4 linked regions of the Mus musculus genome follow. The protein of the gene in region 4 purifies or fractionates together with the protein of the main gene of each other region. This does not show direct contact. Links are inferred from orthologs where the notes say so. Each region holds a gene or a part of one and is shown on either strand. Other genes may lie near its edges. The genes, in order: Rfc5, Hus1b, Clspn and Rad9a.

Region 1 (4,448 bases), on a different chromosome or scaffold from region 4:
ACAGACAGCATGGCTCAGAGCAGTAATCTAAGAAGATCCTGATGAAGAGACATTTTTAAAGGTGTTTGTCGAGCAGTGGTTCTCAACCTGTGGGTTTTGACCCCAAGGGGTGTCGAATGACCTTTTCACGGGTTGCCTAAGACTATCAAAAAAACAGATAACTGTACTACAATTCATAACAGTAGCAAAATTACAGTTGTGAAGTAGTAATGAACATAATTTTATAGTTGGGGGTCACCACATCATAACAAACTGTATTAAAAGGTCGAAACATTAGGAAGATTGAGAACCACTAGCCTAAACTAAAGAGATATGCAGTATTCATTATCACCACGAAATCTTAAGGGGTTCAACAAGAGCTGTGGGCAGGTAGAGCAGGCTGTGTGGGCAGGGTACAACCTCTAAGTTGGCCCCGCAGAAAGTAGAGGCTGCCAGGTGTTAATGCCCTAGCAAGTCTAAGCAGTATCCCCCATTTTGACACCCCCCAACTCCCCCCAAAACACACACAAGATCCCATTGGTCAAACACAGCCAGGACTCAGATGGTCAGGGAATAAAAGAAGGACAAAGGTTAAGTGTCTGGAGGTCTGAGCTGTTGTGGAGTGAGAGTGTCTCCTTCACCTCCAAGACCATGGAGCCAAATTCTTTATCTTTGTACAGTTGCTTGGCACAGGCCAGGATGGTGGATGTCTTTCCTGTCCCTGGAGGGCCATAGAGAAGTAGGTGTGGCAGGCGGTCTTCACTGATGAACTTCTGAACTGAGGGACAGGAAGGGGTGACATGTGTCAGTCTCTGGGTCCTACACAATCACCTTAGGACCTGGTTATGCTAAATCCAGATATGCTTCAGTTTTTCAGTGTCCTAGTCGGAGTAGACAGGGAGGGGAAGTCCTGAAGTCACACCACAGTTTGTCTGTCTGTCTATCTGTCTTCCACACTAGCTATCTTGGGAGGGTCTATTAAGTTGAGAGCAGAAGTTCTCAACCTGTCTCGACACTTTTAGGAGCTACATATCGCACACATACCCTGCCTATCAGACATTTATTTACATTATAATTTGTAACAGTACCAAATTCCATTTATTAAGTAGCAATGAAATAATTTTATGGTGGGGGGGGGTGGTCACCACAACATGGGGAACTGTATTAAAAGGGCCACATCTTTAGGAAGGTTGAGAGCCACTGGTTTAGAGGCACAGCCTCATTGGAGGAGTCAGGTCACCAAACTCGTGCCTTTGAGGGTCATACTGCTTGCTCCCCCACCCCTTTAGCTCTCTACTTCCTGTCCACTTTGGAGCAGAGTGCTCCCACTGCCACGAAGTTGTGCTCACCAAGGGTCTAGAGTCAACAGAGCCAAGCACTGTGAACCAAAACCTCTTCAAAATCAACCATCCCTCTTCTGTGTTGTCTTCTTGGGACATGGGGGGATTGGGAAGGTGCCTCAGTTAAGCCGGGTGCTCTTGCAGAGGATCTGGGTTTGGTTCCTAGCACCTACATAGCAGCTCACAACTGCCTACAGGATCCAGGGTCCTCTTCTGGCCTCTGGAGGAGCCAGGCACACAAGGTGCACACACTTTCATGTGTAAACAAAACACCTAAACAGTAAAACCAAACAGATCTTGAGACAGTTTGGTACACTATGGAGAAGGCGACACATGGCCGGTTCTATAAAGGCTCAGAGCATCCTCTAAGGGTCACCCAGCAGAGACATCGTCATCACGAAATGGACCCAACCCTCCACAAGGACAGCAGCAACAGACAGATACTTACTGGTACTCAGAATGTCCTGGTGAGAAATGAGATCGGCCAGGGTCTGTGGCCGGTACTTCTCAACCCTGAAATAGGATTCACCGTTAAGTTACAATCTATATACTCAAGCCATGTTCTGTTACATGCAAAGAAGCCCCTTCACATCCTAAGCAGCAGAGGAAGAGAAACCCTTCGCGTCTGAACAGAGCACTGGCTCTCACAACCAGGAGTTGTTCTGTCCCCCCAGGGGACATCGGTCAGGCCAGTTATCTGTATTAACTGTGCAATGGGTGTTAGCAGCATCTGTTGAGTAGGAGTCAGGAGGTTGCTAACATCCTCCAGTGGGCAGGACAGCTCCCCCTTGCCCCTCACCAACAGCGCTGAGACTGCGCAAACGGAACTCATACTCAAATACCTATAAGCAAGAGAACGGGCAATCCACTTATGATGTGGCTTTCAAGAGGGAATCGAGTGCTGAACCATGCTACAGAACAGAAAACCCTTGAGTTCGAGAAGCCAGACTCAAAAGGCCACACGGTCTGTGACTCCAGTCCTGAGAATTTAAATACCGTGTGGCCTGAGACAAGTCTTCCTCCTCAGGATAGACCAGAAGAAAAGAAAATGAAAGCATGGCTAGGCTTGCTTCATTTAAAACACCGCTAAGGTGCTGTAGGGCCATTCAGAATGCAGGCGCTGGGGCCCTGGGTGGAAGATCAGGTCCCTGCAAGTTGTCCTCTGACCTCCACCAGGGTGCGCTGCTACGGTCCCTCCCCCGCAAATAAAGAGGGGATAGAGTGCAAGCGCTGAATTCGGACACGAGTTCGAATCCAACCAAGCCTACCCACTCCTCCGTCCTCGGAACCTTTCTAAAGAAACCCAGGATCAATTTATTAGGGTCATCGGAGCGCAGAGGCGATGCTCGAGGACCCCGAGGATGGCTAAGCTGAGCTCAGAGCCCGTTCAGGTATGGAAGCGGAGGAGCGGCTGCGGCGCCAAGGCCGGGAGCGGGGAAGGATCTGCAAAGCTCCTAGGAGGAAGAGCGGGAAGCGGGATGTGGGGCCGCTCCTACCAGGGCAGGTTCCGGGCCCGGGCCGCCGCGGGCCGCTGCTGCGAAGGCGCGGCCGCCGTCATGACTGACAGATGCTGCGGGTCCCTGCCACTGACCCGCCGCACTCGGAGTCCGCGCGCAAACCAACCCTCGCGAGGCTTCGCCTCCGGCTTCCGGCTTCCGTCCCCCGGCCCGCCTCCTCCCCGTTGCTAAGGTGCTGGTTGCTAGGTAACCCTAGGCGCCGGCCTGCAGCGGAGTTACCGCCTGAGTCGGCTGTCTCAGCCTCCTCGCACGAGGTCCAGGGTGACCGCGCGCTGAAGCCAGAGCCACCGCGGGCCTCACCAGGGCCCGATCCTGTCAGTGCAGGGGCAAGCCGCAAGGAGCAGCAAGGTGTGTGGTCAGTGCAACCTCGGTTCCATAACCAGCAACACACACACAGAGACACACGTACATATACAGGTATGCACACAGTTACAAATATACATATACATACATCCCCATTCACATACATATAAACAGATATACGCCTGCACTCACATACACATACAGATACATACACACAAGTATACACAAATACACAGTTAATACGCATACATACATACATACATGCATACATATATACTCACATATACATGTATATCACACACATATATATACACACAGAACATACACATTCAATCATATATACACATAAATACAGTTACATATATACACATACATGCATACATATATTCATATAAATACATACAAACATTTGTGTTTTATACACACAAATGCATTTTCTCCTACAGTAAGAGGATTACAGACCAATTTTATTTATTTATTTGTTTGTTTGTTTATTTATTTATTTGATTAGTTTTGAGACAGGGTTTCTCTCTGTATCTTTGGCTATCCTGAAGCTCACTCTGTAGGCCAGGTTAGCCTCAAACCCAGAGATCCACCTGCCTCTACCTCCCAAGTGCAGGGATTAATTAAATGTGAGCTTCACCGTTTGCCTGGTGACCAATTTTATTTTCATCTTTAGCTTTTACTTTGAGCCAGGTATGCCTTTAATTCGAGTACTTGGGAGGCAGAAGCAGATGGATCTCTGTGAGTTCAAGGTCTACAGAGTGGCCTCTAGGACAGCTAGGGCTACATAGTGAGACCCTGTCTTAAAAACTCGAAAGAAAACTAACTTTAATTAATTTGTGTGTGCCTCGCTGCACATGTGGAGGCCATGTGCATCAATTTTCAAGAGTTGGTCTTCTTTCTTATGCAGACGTCCTGGGAATCGAACTTAGCTGTCAAGCTTGGCCGTTTGAATCGCAAGATCATCCTTGACTGCATATCCAGCTCATGGCCAGCCTGGTGGTGTACTTAACTACCTTTGGAGTCAAGCAGCTGCCATCTGGGGGAGTTCAGCTGTGTCCACTTACAAAAGAATTACCTTAGCTGGACTTTTTGACCGTTTACATCCCCTCACGGAAGACCCTCACCTGAGTATCCACTGGCTCCCTATAATTTATTGTGTGCAACTCTGCCTTAATTGCACATGGCTTGCCTGGAGGGCAGGGGTGGGGGGAGGAGACTAGAGTACTCAGATTAAGAAAGACTAGGAGAGAGGTCTTTATCTAAGCAGCTATGGGAAAACCCTTACCCTGTTGGCCAAATCTTT
Region 2 (3,276 bases), on a different chromosome or scaffold from region 4:
GGGTAAGGTTTAGGAGGTACAGCTTCCTAGAGGAAGTATGTCACAAGGGGAAAGCTTTGGGGTTTTAAAAGCCATCTGTCATTCCCAGTTAAAGCTCTGCTTCCTACACAAAGTTTAGGGTTTGAGCTCTTGGCTATTCCTGTACCATGACTGTCATCTGCTGCCAAGATTCCCTGTCATAATGGATTCTTATTGTTCTAAAAACCATAAGGCAAAAACCCCTCCTTTCTATAAGTTGCCTGGGTCATTGTGTTTGAGCTTACCAATAGAAATCAGAAAGCATGTCTGTGTTACAGCACAGACATATACACACACAACCTGAATATCCCGAAGCTTTCCCAAAATAGCGTTTACAAATAGTTCTCACCTTTCTTTAAATAGTCACCAAACAAACAAGTGTCTGACTCCGAGGTGAGGAAGAGAGTTGTCAGAGAGTTTAAACCCTGAAATGGCTACTCACCAGTAACGTAAAGACTCCTACCGAGGACCTTCAGAAGACCCTTGTTTGCCTCTCGGAATCTGTGGTGGACATACAAAATCCATCTCAGACCTTTCAGAGAGACTGAGCGCATTAAGTCTCTCAAAATACTTAGTTTATTTTAAAAGGAGAATTTTCTCACTCTTCACAATTTATTTCATAATAAAATAATACAATAATTGTTTCAGGATTCAGTTATATTATTTTATTATAATCCTTTTTTTCCAAAACAACTAAGTTGAATATAATGTAACTGTCAAAACCAAAAAAACAATCACATGAACTTTTAATTATTTCTCCAACTGTTTCTTAACAGTTTACAAAGGAAGCACTCAACAAAATAAACACTCTACCAAATCCATGGGGTTGCAGGCTTTTAACACAAGTAACTCAAAGTCTCAGTTCTGGAAAGTGCTTCAATTAAGAATTCTTTTAAAAAGAAAATCAAGGCTGCTTGAAATTCATGAAGCAGGAATAAAATACTGAAGAGAAATATCTTCATGAACCAAAACAAGATGAAGCAGAGTATTGCTCAAAATATTACATAAGGCCATTGTGGGGTTTATCTGATGTCCATCAAAACACTGTAGAAGCTTCCTATTATCCACCCGCACTTGCACCATGGTTTCTGGGTCTCTGCCTTGAGACATACACAGAACGGCATTTGGAGGATTTCCAAGATTTTTAAAATAGCTTTTAATAGTCACTCTATCAGTTTCTACAGTCAAGTTCATTCTGCCATTGAGGTTTGCTTCCACCAGCACATGACTGCCCACGTTTGCCATCCTTTCCACCATGTTCTTCAAGGTCTTCAGAGCTGGCAGATAAACACTCACATCAGAGCCCCGAACATGGGGCTCTGTGCAGTCTTTCCATCGCCTTCTGGGAAGCACCCTCACAGGCAAATCGTGGACCACAGCACGGGTGTGGCCGGGGCACGATGCCAGCTCCACCACCAAAGTAAGGCAGGGGCGCTGCTTGTTGGTGAGCTGGAGCTTCAGGGATGAAGCATTGCCGGCATTCTTCACGGCTCTGGCCAGATGCTCAGACATCAGCTCAAGACAGATCTCGTTGAACTCCTGCGAGGCACCCTCCATGCAGAAGTGGTGGAAGACATCGCGCCGCATCTCACCCCACAGCTGGGCCTCACCCAGCAGCCCCATGGGACAGAAGTACAGCCTGTCAGGGCACACACGGAGCACACAGACCTTCGCCAGCTTTGCTACGGTGCTGCTGACCTGAATGAAGAGCTCTATAAAACGCTTGCTGGTGATCCTGGCCCGAAACCTCATGGTGCCTCAAAACCTCGGTGGTAGAGAGAGCTGTGAGGAGCCCGCTGCCAGAGAAGTCAGCTGGTTCACTCTTCCGGCCTGGAGTGTAGCCTGCTTACCCTTCCGGCCTGGGACACAGCCAGTTCACCTACCAAGACTGGGGTGCGCTCTACTGCCCCTCCCTCCTGCCCCAGCACTGCCTGCATTTGGGTTCCACCTACCTGCAGGCCCACTTACACCTGAGGCCACCGAGGGCAGATGCTACAGGGACACACTTTGGACTGTCTCTTCACCTTCCTACCTACCTGCCCTATTTGAATATTTCACTGCTTCTGGTCTGCTCATAAGAAGGTCACTCTACATAGTGTGACTACAATTAAAATCACCAGCACCATTGAGACAACCAACCCTTTTAAAACATTTTGGTGCATACATATACTAAATATATATTATAGTCCTGTTCAGTCCAGACATTACTTGCAGACGTTACTACATGTCTTATAAATAATGTGATAAATTGGATACACATTTTATAACCTGGCATTTGTGCCTAAAATGCACATATAATGGATATCACTCCATACTATCACATGCTAGCAAGTCTATATCATTTTCATGGCTAGTTTTCCAGTATATTGATAAAAATAATTATTCTATAAGAGGAATTTACATGATCCAATTTTGACCTATTCCTAGGATAACAATGAATTACACAAAATACATTTACTTTTGTCAGTATTTACTTGAGTTAAGTTTAAAGGGAAATCTTGGTTATTGCATGTACATATTAAAACTCTTCTGTTACCAAACTTTCCCAAAGAAATTTCTATCAACATACCTTCTCATCAGCAGCATCATATAACAATCTATGTTGTATGTAGTGATGTGATAGGTAGAAGAGCATGGCTTCAACTTACAATGTATGTATGTGAATTTTACATTCATGACCTTTTGTGGAGTTTGTTGCTTGATTTTTAAGATCTCTGATAAGACCAGGCTGGTGACACATTCCAATAATTCCAACACAGGGGCCCAGAGGCAAGGAGGAAGGATCACAAGTTTAAGGAAAGTTAGGGTTACATTCTAGGCCAGTCTAAGCTACATGGTGAGATTTTTATCTTAAATAAATAAATGGGTAACAAAAGAATAAAATCTCTGACAAGAACATTAGCCCTCTGTCCCTGTAAATATGGCCCAGGTTAGTATTTGGCTTTCATATTATTGATGATGTTCTTTACCCTTAAGAAAATACTGAATCTTTGTATGTGAAATGTATTTGTCTTTTTTTTTTTTTGTGCTCCTAGAGTCCTGATCCATGTGAAATACAAAGGATGAAGCTCAAACTTCTATACTCATCTAGTACAGCAGAGTGTTTGCTCAGCTCCACTTTTTTCAACTAGGCAGTGATGATGATGGCACAGATCTCTGACTAAGGTGTCTTAGAGACCAAGATCTGACTGCTTTCTTCATCTTACTCCTGCCCCAAAATGAGTCCTGACTCTCATTCCAATCTTTTTTTTATTATTA
Region 3 (3,746 bases), on a different chromosome or scaffold from region 4:
AGGGTTTATAAAGTTCTGTCCCCACGCCTCAGCACAGGACACTGCTTCTGGTAAGACGCTAAGCTCAGTTCTCAAGAACGAGGGCAGGGGAGCACCGAGTGGAGCTTGGTTGTACTCTCTCTGCACTCACCTCGTCACTAGCAAATCCATTCTCCTTTGAAACAAGCTGGAAGTCTCCAAATTCCTCCTCTTCACCCTCTTCCTCCCTAGAGGACAAAACACTAAGTTACTGAAAGCACACCACAAGCAGCCAGCCAAGCTAAGGACTTAAGACACTCATCAGCACCAGAAATTTCTTTTAAGAAGCGGGAAATGAGGTATTTTGTCTTTTTAAAAAGGTGTTTTGAGCCTGAGGGCTAAAGCATTTACCCTGCTACTGTGAAAACTGGAGTTTTGACCCCAGAACCTGCATCAGTGCCAGCTTGGCAGAGTGGCCCACCTGTAATTACAGCCTCATAAGGCAGAGATAAGGATGCTCAGAGTGGACTGACTAGAAAGGCTAGTCATCCCTGGGTGTAGTGGTCCAGGCCTTTCATTCCAGCACTTGGGAGACAGAAGGAAGTAGGATCTCTGTGAGTTTGAGGCTAATCTGGTCTATAGAGTGAGGTCCAGGTCAGCCAGGGCTACAGAATGAGACCTAGTCTCAAAACAAAACAGAAAAAATTACGTTGAGACTATTATATAAGCAACCTCCGAAGTCCTTCAGGTAGTAAAAACTCTACGCCTATTAGACAAATCTTCCTCTCTTTCTCCAGCCACCATCTAATTTCCTGTCTCTGTCAAACTGCTTACTCCAGTGACTATATAGGCAGACTTATACAGTACTTGTCCCTCAGTGACAAATGTTTCTTGTTCCTAGCATATCGTCACGGTCCCTCCATGGTGAAGCATGTGTCATACTTCCCTCCTATTGGCTGGGTTTGATGTACACACTTGGTGGATGAAGCAGAGGATTACTAGTTTGAGGTCAGCCTGAACTAACAGTGAATTCCAGGCCAGTATGGGCTGCATAGGAAGACCTGGTCTCAAATAACAAAAACAAATTTCCTTCCTTTTAAAGCCATGTAATGCATATAAATTCTATTTAGCAGATGTGCTGGCTAGTTTTATGTCAACCTGACACAAGCTATAATCATGGAGGAGGGAGCCTCAATTGAGAAAATGCCTCCATAAGACAGAGTGGTACGCAAGTGTATAGGACATTTTCTTTTTCTTTTCACTGTATTATTTTACACTCATTGGTGTTTTGCCGGCATATATGTCTGCATGAAGATGTCAGATTCTAGAACCCTAGCTATAGAGAGTTGTGAGCTGCCATGCAGTTGCCAGGAATCGAGCCCAGGTTGTTTGGAAGAGCAGCCAGTGCTCTTAACCACTGAGCCACCTCTCTAGCTCCTGTAGTGCATTTTCTTAATGAGTGACTGATGGAGGAGGGCCCAGCCCACTGAGGTGGTCCTGGACTGGTGGTCCTGGGTTCTATAAGAAAGCAGGTTGAGCTAGTCAGTATGCACACTCCTCCATGGCCTCTGTATCAGCTCCTGTCTTCAGATTCCTGCCCTGCTTAAGTTTCTGTCTTGATTTCTTTTGATGATGAACAGTGATGAGGAAGAGTAAGCTAAATAAACCCTTTCCTCCCCAATTTGCTTTAAAAAAAAAAAAAGACTTATTTATTTATTATATGGTGAGTACACTGTAGCTGTCTTTAGACACACCAGAAGAGGGCATCAATCTCATTACAGATGGTTGTAAACCATCATGTGGTTGCTGGGATTTGAACTCACAACCTTTGGAAGAGCAGTCAGTGCTCTTAAACACTGAGCCATCTCTCCAGCCCTTCCAATTTGCTTTTTCTCGTGGTGTTTTATCACAGCAACAATAACCTTAACAAGTCAGCAGCCACACTTCCTCTTTATTTTGGCTATTATCAAATTATGTTAAACACAAATTATAAAAACCTGTTTTATTCATTTAGGTATAAGAAAGGAGTAGCAGGGCTGACCTCACCCTTCTTGCCTTCATTTATTTATACATTTATTTATTTACTGTGTGTGAATGTACAGGCATGTGCATCTATAACTACACACGTTATAACTACTATACTACATAAAGAGGCCAGAGGTCAACTTGTAGAGGTTGGTTCTTTCCCACCTCGTTAGACACTAGGGATTGAACTCAGGTCTTTAGGCTTGGTGTCAAGTATTTGACACTGAGCCACTTACCTGGCCTGAACTTGATTTTCTTGCCTGTTTCTAGACTATTGGATTCTAAGCACATACCACACTAGGCTTTCTGAGGTTCTTTTTGAGGTAACAGGCATGTGCCACCACTCAGACTTCTCTAGAGCCAAAGTGGAGCTGCTGGATCAGATGGCAATTCTATTATCAGCTCTGAGAAACCACTGAACTTGTTTCCCTAGCAGCTCACCAAGAACAAGCAGAGGTTTCCCTGATCTTTGCCAATACTTAGTTTATATAAAAACTGTAGTCACCTTAAAAGATCTGCCTTTCCCAAAGTTACTTAGTTTGTTGCTAAACACAGAGAACCGGATCCTAGGATTGCTTAGTTGGTTGTTTTTTTGCTTTTGTTTTCTCGGTGTATCCCTGGCTGTCCTGGAACTCAAGAGATCCGCCTGCCTCTGTCTCCAGAGTGCTGGGATTAAAGGTGTGCATCACTATGCCAGCGGATCCTAGGGTTTCATCTTCCTGCGTTCCCGACAACCTTTGAGACTCACCTGTCTGTTGGGAAAGAGCCGGAGCAAAGAGCAAGTGCCTCTTCCATCGGATCTTCTGTGCTGCTCTCCTTCTCCTGACTCCTCAGCCCCAGTGGGGCCACCGGGGAGGCATCTACCTCAACAAGGAAAGGCCAGTAAGGAAGGAAACGCCACCTCTGCTCTCCTGGCCATCTATGTACCCACCAGCTCAATTCAGTTCTTAGGTGGGATGTGGAAAAGTTCACCATCCATTCTTTCAACAAATCCTTCCTCATATTTACTGTGTGCTGAGCCCCAGGAAGACAGTCATGAACAAAATGAACACCCAATTACCTCAGAGAGCCCACTTCCTGTTTCAGCAAGCATGCAACGTTTACTCCCCACCAGACACTGTTCTAACCTCCGTAGAGAGATTAAGTTATACACTGTGATGCTGAAGCTAAAGCAGTCCTAAGTTGACAGTGTCACTGTAAAGGTGAGGAAGTGGCAGGATTCCATCCCATCCCTGTTTTCTGTGCACTTACAGAGAGGGGGCAAGAGCTTCTTTCCGGGGACGGTGACATGAGCTGACTGAATTCTCGCTGTGCTACCTGGACTCTCGCAGAACATTTACCTTGAGTAGGAAATTTGCCCGAGCAGAGATTCAAAAGTTCCTCCATGTTTTCTTTTTTGTCATTCTTCCTTGGTTGACATTTCTCCTCAGGCTGAGATGTAAACTGTCCAGTGCACAAATCCAGCAGCTCGTCCATGTTGGCGTCCATGGCATTCTCGTCCATGCTGGCCAGTGGCAACTGGGGCTTCACAGCCTGATATCGATGGCGGTGATTTCTAATGTTTAAAAATCTACGAGTACAGTGAAGTGTCGGAAATTACCCAGAGGAGAGACAAACGACAGGTAAAAACCTCCTGACTTCCAGCACCAGGGTTAGAAGCTGAACGTGGCCAGCAAGACCGCTGAGTGGGAAAGGTGCTCGCTGCAAAGCCTGAGGCGTTCAGTTCCATTCCCAGAATCCACAAGGTAGAGGGAACTAACTTC
Region 4 (4,221 bases):
GGACAGTGAAAGGAGGACAGTGGAGACAGAAGGAGGGCCACTTTGCCATCTGTTTGGGAAATGAAGCAGCCAGAATCCACCGAAGACGTGAGCAAGTGAGGAGGAGAGGATGCTGGTAATCCCCTAACTCCCAGTCTAACAGAGAACTGGACACCTCTGCGTTGTATGCAGCTTGCCTTGGATGTGGAAAGGGAAAGCCGCCTCCTCCCCGGAGGCTCTAGGAAAGAAGCACTTGGAGAGGGAGAGGAGCCTAGAAAAACAAAGAGGGGCTAGGTAACAAACACACCCTCCCCACTACCCACAGGCCCGCAGGGGGATGGGCAAGGGTTGCTCTAGGCATTTGAACTACCTCCCAGAGCAAGGTGAATGCGTCCCAGCTGAAAATCTTCATCCTTCCACACTGTCTGGGTAATTGGTAAAATGTACATAAACCAAACCCCGCGTAGTACTTAAGCCTTCCCAGGGCTTCCCAGTTCATCCCTTCAGCTCTGCCTCCCCACCCCTTACCGCACAAGGCTCGGGACACCCCATTCACCCATATTCGCCTACCCCCATTGTGCTTCTGCTTCTGCCCCTCCTTCTGACAAGTCCATCCTTCCACCCTTTTCTGTCCCAGAACCTTCTCATCTTTCCATGTATTTACGAAGGTCAGTGAAGGATCCTGAAAGCAAAATGAACAGCCCCTTCTCATCGCTCTTGAAGCGAGTTACGTTTTTTGAGGGGAGCTGGTGGTTGCTGCCACAACAGAATCCCCAGCCCAGATTGAGCGCGGACTATCTTGATTTGACCCTGTAACCCCACACACTAAAGTTAGCGACCCGGGAGGGTCTACACTTCCCACGTTAGGGCTCTGGTCCAGAGCTCGATCCTTGGTGCAGACACCTTGCTCCTCCATCTAGTATGCCCTTCACCTATGCCCAGTGCAGCCCAGTGGAGCTGCAGAGCTCTGCAGGGTGTGCAGGGCTCGGGTTCGGGTGGGAGAATCAGACCTGAGGAAGGACACAGGAGCAAGCCCTCCGCAGTCACGTGACCCGGGCCACACCCAATGAACCGACTAGATCACGTGACACCGAGCTTAGGAACGTTTTTCTCACGTGACGGAGAAACCCCGGGTGAACCAATAAGGAAGCGGAGGCCAGGCCGGCAGCGGGGAGGGGACGGTGCGCGGGAAGGGAACTTTAGGCAGTCGTAGTAGCTGCTGGGACTCATTATATGTCCTATCCCGTCCCGGTTCGTGTGCAAAACAAGCTCGATTTTTGTGCTTATGTACTATGAAGTGCCTGATCACCGGGGGCAACGTGAAGGGTAAGTTTGGACCTACCTTGCAGCAGACCACGTGAGCAAGCCCCAGGAGTCCCCCTAACCACTTTCTGTTCTCCTCCCCGCAGTGCTGGGCAAGGCTGTCCATTCGCTATCCCGAATCGGGGACGAGCTCTATCTGGAACCCTTGAAGGACGGGGTAAGGGACTGGGACGCAGGGATGGGGGCGGATTCAATGGTGAATGGGGAGCCTAGGCTTGGTGTTCATTCGGCCTTACAGGGATGGTGGACAGATATTCCGGCGCAGTTTATTATCTCTTGGGTTGTTCGGACATCGGCTTGGGCCCAGTCTTCTGAGGCTGCATGTCTATACAGAGGGTACTTGCTCTTCCTAGAACGCCTAGTGGCAGGCAAGGTGGGGCTAAAGTAACTTAAGGGAAAAGCAATTTTGCCTGCTTTTTGTGTCTCAGCTCTCCCTACGGACTGTGAACTCGTCCCGTTCTGCCTATGCCTGCTTCCTTTTTGCCCCACTCTTCTTCCAGCAGTACCAGGCGGCTTCCCCTGGTCAGGACCTGCTGCGCTGTAAGATCCTGATGAAGGTAAGGGCCACCTGAAGCAGCTCCACAGCTGTGCCTCTGTGCCAGGTACTCAGTAAATGATGAGTTTGACTAGGGAGTTAGTCTCATATGGGAGCTATTCCATGCAACATGCAGTGAGGTAAAGATGTTTAGACCGTAGAGGGCTATCTAAGATCTGTGGAGAGGGTGGTGACATTGGTCAAGAAAAGGTTAGTGGCCCTTCCCAGCAAAGAGACCAGCATGGGCAAGGCAGCATGGGAGTGTGCAGACACCACAGCTTTGTGGGGCCAGTGATGGGGCCAGGGCCTACATGGGATGTAGAGCTGGGCCGTGGAAGCAGTGTGCCAGACTGATGTCCTACCCTGCCCAGGCCTTCCTGTCCGTCTTCCGCTCTCTGGCAATTGTGGAGAAGTCTGTGGAGAAGTGCTGTATCTCCCTCAGTGGCAGCCACAGCCACCTGGTGGTCCAGCTCCACTGCAAGTATGGTGAGCAAGCGGCCTGCCCAAAGAGTTCCTCTGTGGGTGTGGAGGCAGTGGCAGTGGAGGTTGCCAAGCCCTGAGACCATTTCCCTTATCCAGGGGTCAAGAAGACACACAACCTCTCCTTCCAGGACTGTGAGTCCCTGCAGGCTGTCTTCGACCCAGCCTCATGCCCTCACTTATTGCGCACCCCAGCACGGTAAGCACCCCTGCTTCAAACTTCGCCTGAGTCTCTCCTACCTTTAGGGCTTTAATGTCATTCTAGGAATGCTCCATTTTCAGCAGGCCTGGCTAGCCTATGCCTGTCATCGTAGCAGTTCTTAGATTGAGGTGGGAGGATCAGAAGTTTCTAGGAAACTTCACTGGGAAGGCCATTGAGTTTCTAGGTAGCCTAAGCAGTGAGACTCTTTCTCAAAAAAAGGGTGCATGTGCTGGCGAGATAACTCAGTAAAATGGTTGACGTGCAAGCCTGAAGGCCTGGTTTTGAGTCCCACTTATATAAAAATGTGTATTAATTGGGTGGTGGTGGTGGTGGATGCCTTTAGTCCCAGCACTTAGGAGGCAGAGGCAGGCAGATCTCTGTGAGGCCAGCCTGGTCAACAGAGCAAGTTCCAGGACAGGCAGGGCTACAGAGAGAAACCCTGTCTTTAAAAAAAAAAAGTGTGTGTGTTGGGGGGGGGGCACAAAACCAAACCCCCAGATGGACAGCCCTGAGACGCAGCATCACTGAGCACATCTTCCGGCTTCTGCCCGTGCATGTTCACAGTTCACACAAAACACAAAAGCACCTTTGTCTTTGGGGGCAGGAGGGACGGGGACTCAGGGTTTCTATGTCGAGGCCACACAACTCAGTACATATTTGGACCCTTACCTTGCTCTTCAAAAGCAGGAGCTGCTGCCTCTCTGTCATTTCCACTGACTGTGGGGTCCTGCCATCTGTATCCCAGAGGCCTGCTCCAACTGCTTTTCTAGAGAGCCTATGACCTGCCTGCAGCTCTCTTGTATGACCTGGAAAACCCTGAAGGCCTGTCCTGGACCCTGTGTTATAGAGTTCAAAGCACTCTGACCTCTCATTCTTCTGGTAGTATTCCCCCTTCTGGTGGCTTCTTCCTAATTGCCAGGGCTCTAGACTTTGGGCCAAAAGAACCTGGGCAAGGAGGCTGGAGTCTAGGAGGGCTGCTGCACAGCCCACCAGTCAGTATCAAGACACAGCGTGGCAAGGGGAATGTGCTTCCAGCAGAGACTAAGGTCACTCAAGATAAGCCCAGGATGCAGTGGACTCTCCCCTGCCTGTGCGGGACACTGTTTGCATCCAAGTAGCCCAAGGTCCCATTCATTTCTCAGAATAAAAGTCCCTTCAGTTCCCAAAGTTAGCTTCCCCAGGCAGGGTCTGTTAATAGTGGTAAGAGTTCCTTTTTGGAGGGGCTATTCCTTTTTTTCCCCCATAAATACTGGCAATAGAATCCAGGACCCTGTATTTGCTAGGTACTCTGTATCTCTGAGCTAAATTCCCAGCCCTAACTGCTTCTCTTTCTCACATACGGTTTCAAATATAGAAGTCAGTACGATAGCTCAGCAGTTAAGGCCGTTGCTTTAAGCCTGCCCAGTTGAGTTGTCAGGTTTTAAATCCTCAGAACCTACGTGGTAGAATGGACCCAGTGGGCTGTTGTCAGTCTCCACATGTGCACCAAGGCATCGCAACCGCACTTCTCTCCACAGCACACACACCCACACAAAATAATTTTTAAAAATTCAAATATAGATGCCAGCTGCCCCCACCCCCCACCCCATGCTAGGGAGAGAACCCAAAGACTGTGATCTTGAGGCAAAGCTAGGAGTTACTTTTCTGTAAATGTTCAGCAACATATATCCTTAGAGGTGGAAGCCAAGACTTGGCTTGGTGG

Evidence for each region.
Region 1: the proteins of Rad9a (region 4) and Rfc5 purify together in Homo sapiens (affinity purification with mass spectrometry; 3 studies listed by BioGRID and IntAct, with this or other methods). This does not show direct contact. The link is inferred for Mus musculus from reciprocal best matches to the Homo sapiens genes RAD9A and RFC5.
Region 2: the proteins of Rad9a (region 4) and Hus1b purify together in Homo sapiens (co-immunoprecipitation; 3 studies listed by BioGRID and IntAct, counting the BioPlex papers as one, with this or other methods). This does not show direct contact. The link is inferred for Mus musculus from reciprocal best matches to the Homo sapiens genes RAD9A and HUS1B.
Region 3: the proteins of Rad9a (region 4) and Clspn purify together in Homo sapiens (affinity purification with western blotting; 3 studies listed by BioGRID and IntAct, with this or other methods). This does not show direct contact. The link is inferred for Mus musculus from reciprocal best matches to the Homo sapiens genes RAD9A and CLSPN.

What each region holds. Positions count from the first base shown.
Region 1 is NC_000071.6:117,386,102-117,390,549, forward strand, and holds the start of Rfc5 (replication factor C subunit 5), read right to left. Parts: upstream 2,923-4,448; 5' UTR 2,878-2,922; coding exon 2,816-2,877; intron 1,833-2,815; coding exon 1,768-1,832; intron 758-1,767; coding exon 621-757; intron 1-620. UniProt on the Homo sapiens protein: Subunit of the replication factor C (RFC) complex which acts during elongation of primed DNA templates by DNA polymerases delta and epsilon, and is necessary for ATP-dependent loading of proliferating cell nuclear antigen (PCNA) onto primed DNA.
Region 2 is NC_000079.6:30,945,905-30,949,180, forward strand, and holds Hus1b (checkpoint protein HUS1B), read right to left. Parts: upstream 1,858-3,276; 5' UTR 1,771-1,857; coding exon 940-1,770; 3' UTR 672-939; downstream 1-671.
Region 3 is NC_000070.6:126,577,420-126,581,165, reverse strand, and holds part of Clspn (claspin), read right to left. Parts: intron 3,554-3,746; coding exon 3,324-3,553; intron 2,844-3,323; coding exon 2,732-2,843; intron 207-2,731; coding exon 131-206; intron 1-130.
Region 4 is NC_000085.6:4,198,567-4,202,787, reverse strand, and holds the start of Rad9a (cell cycle checkpoint control protein RAD9A), read left to right. Parts: upstream 1-1,184; 5' UTR 1,185-1,271; coding exon 1,272-1,305; intron 1,306-1,388; coding exon 1,389-1,459; intron 1,460-1,730; coding exon 1,731-1,859; intron 1,860-2,208; coding exon 2,209-2,323; intron 2,324-2,416; coding exon 2,417-2,516; intron 2,517-4,221. UniProt on the Homo sapiens protein: Component of the 9-1-1 cell-cycle checkpoint response complex that plays a major role in DNA repair. The 9-1-1 complex is recruited to DNA lesion upon damage by the RAD17-replication factor C (RFC) clamp loader complex.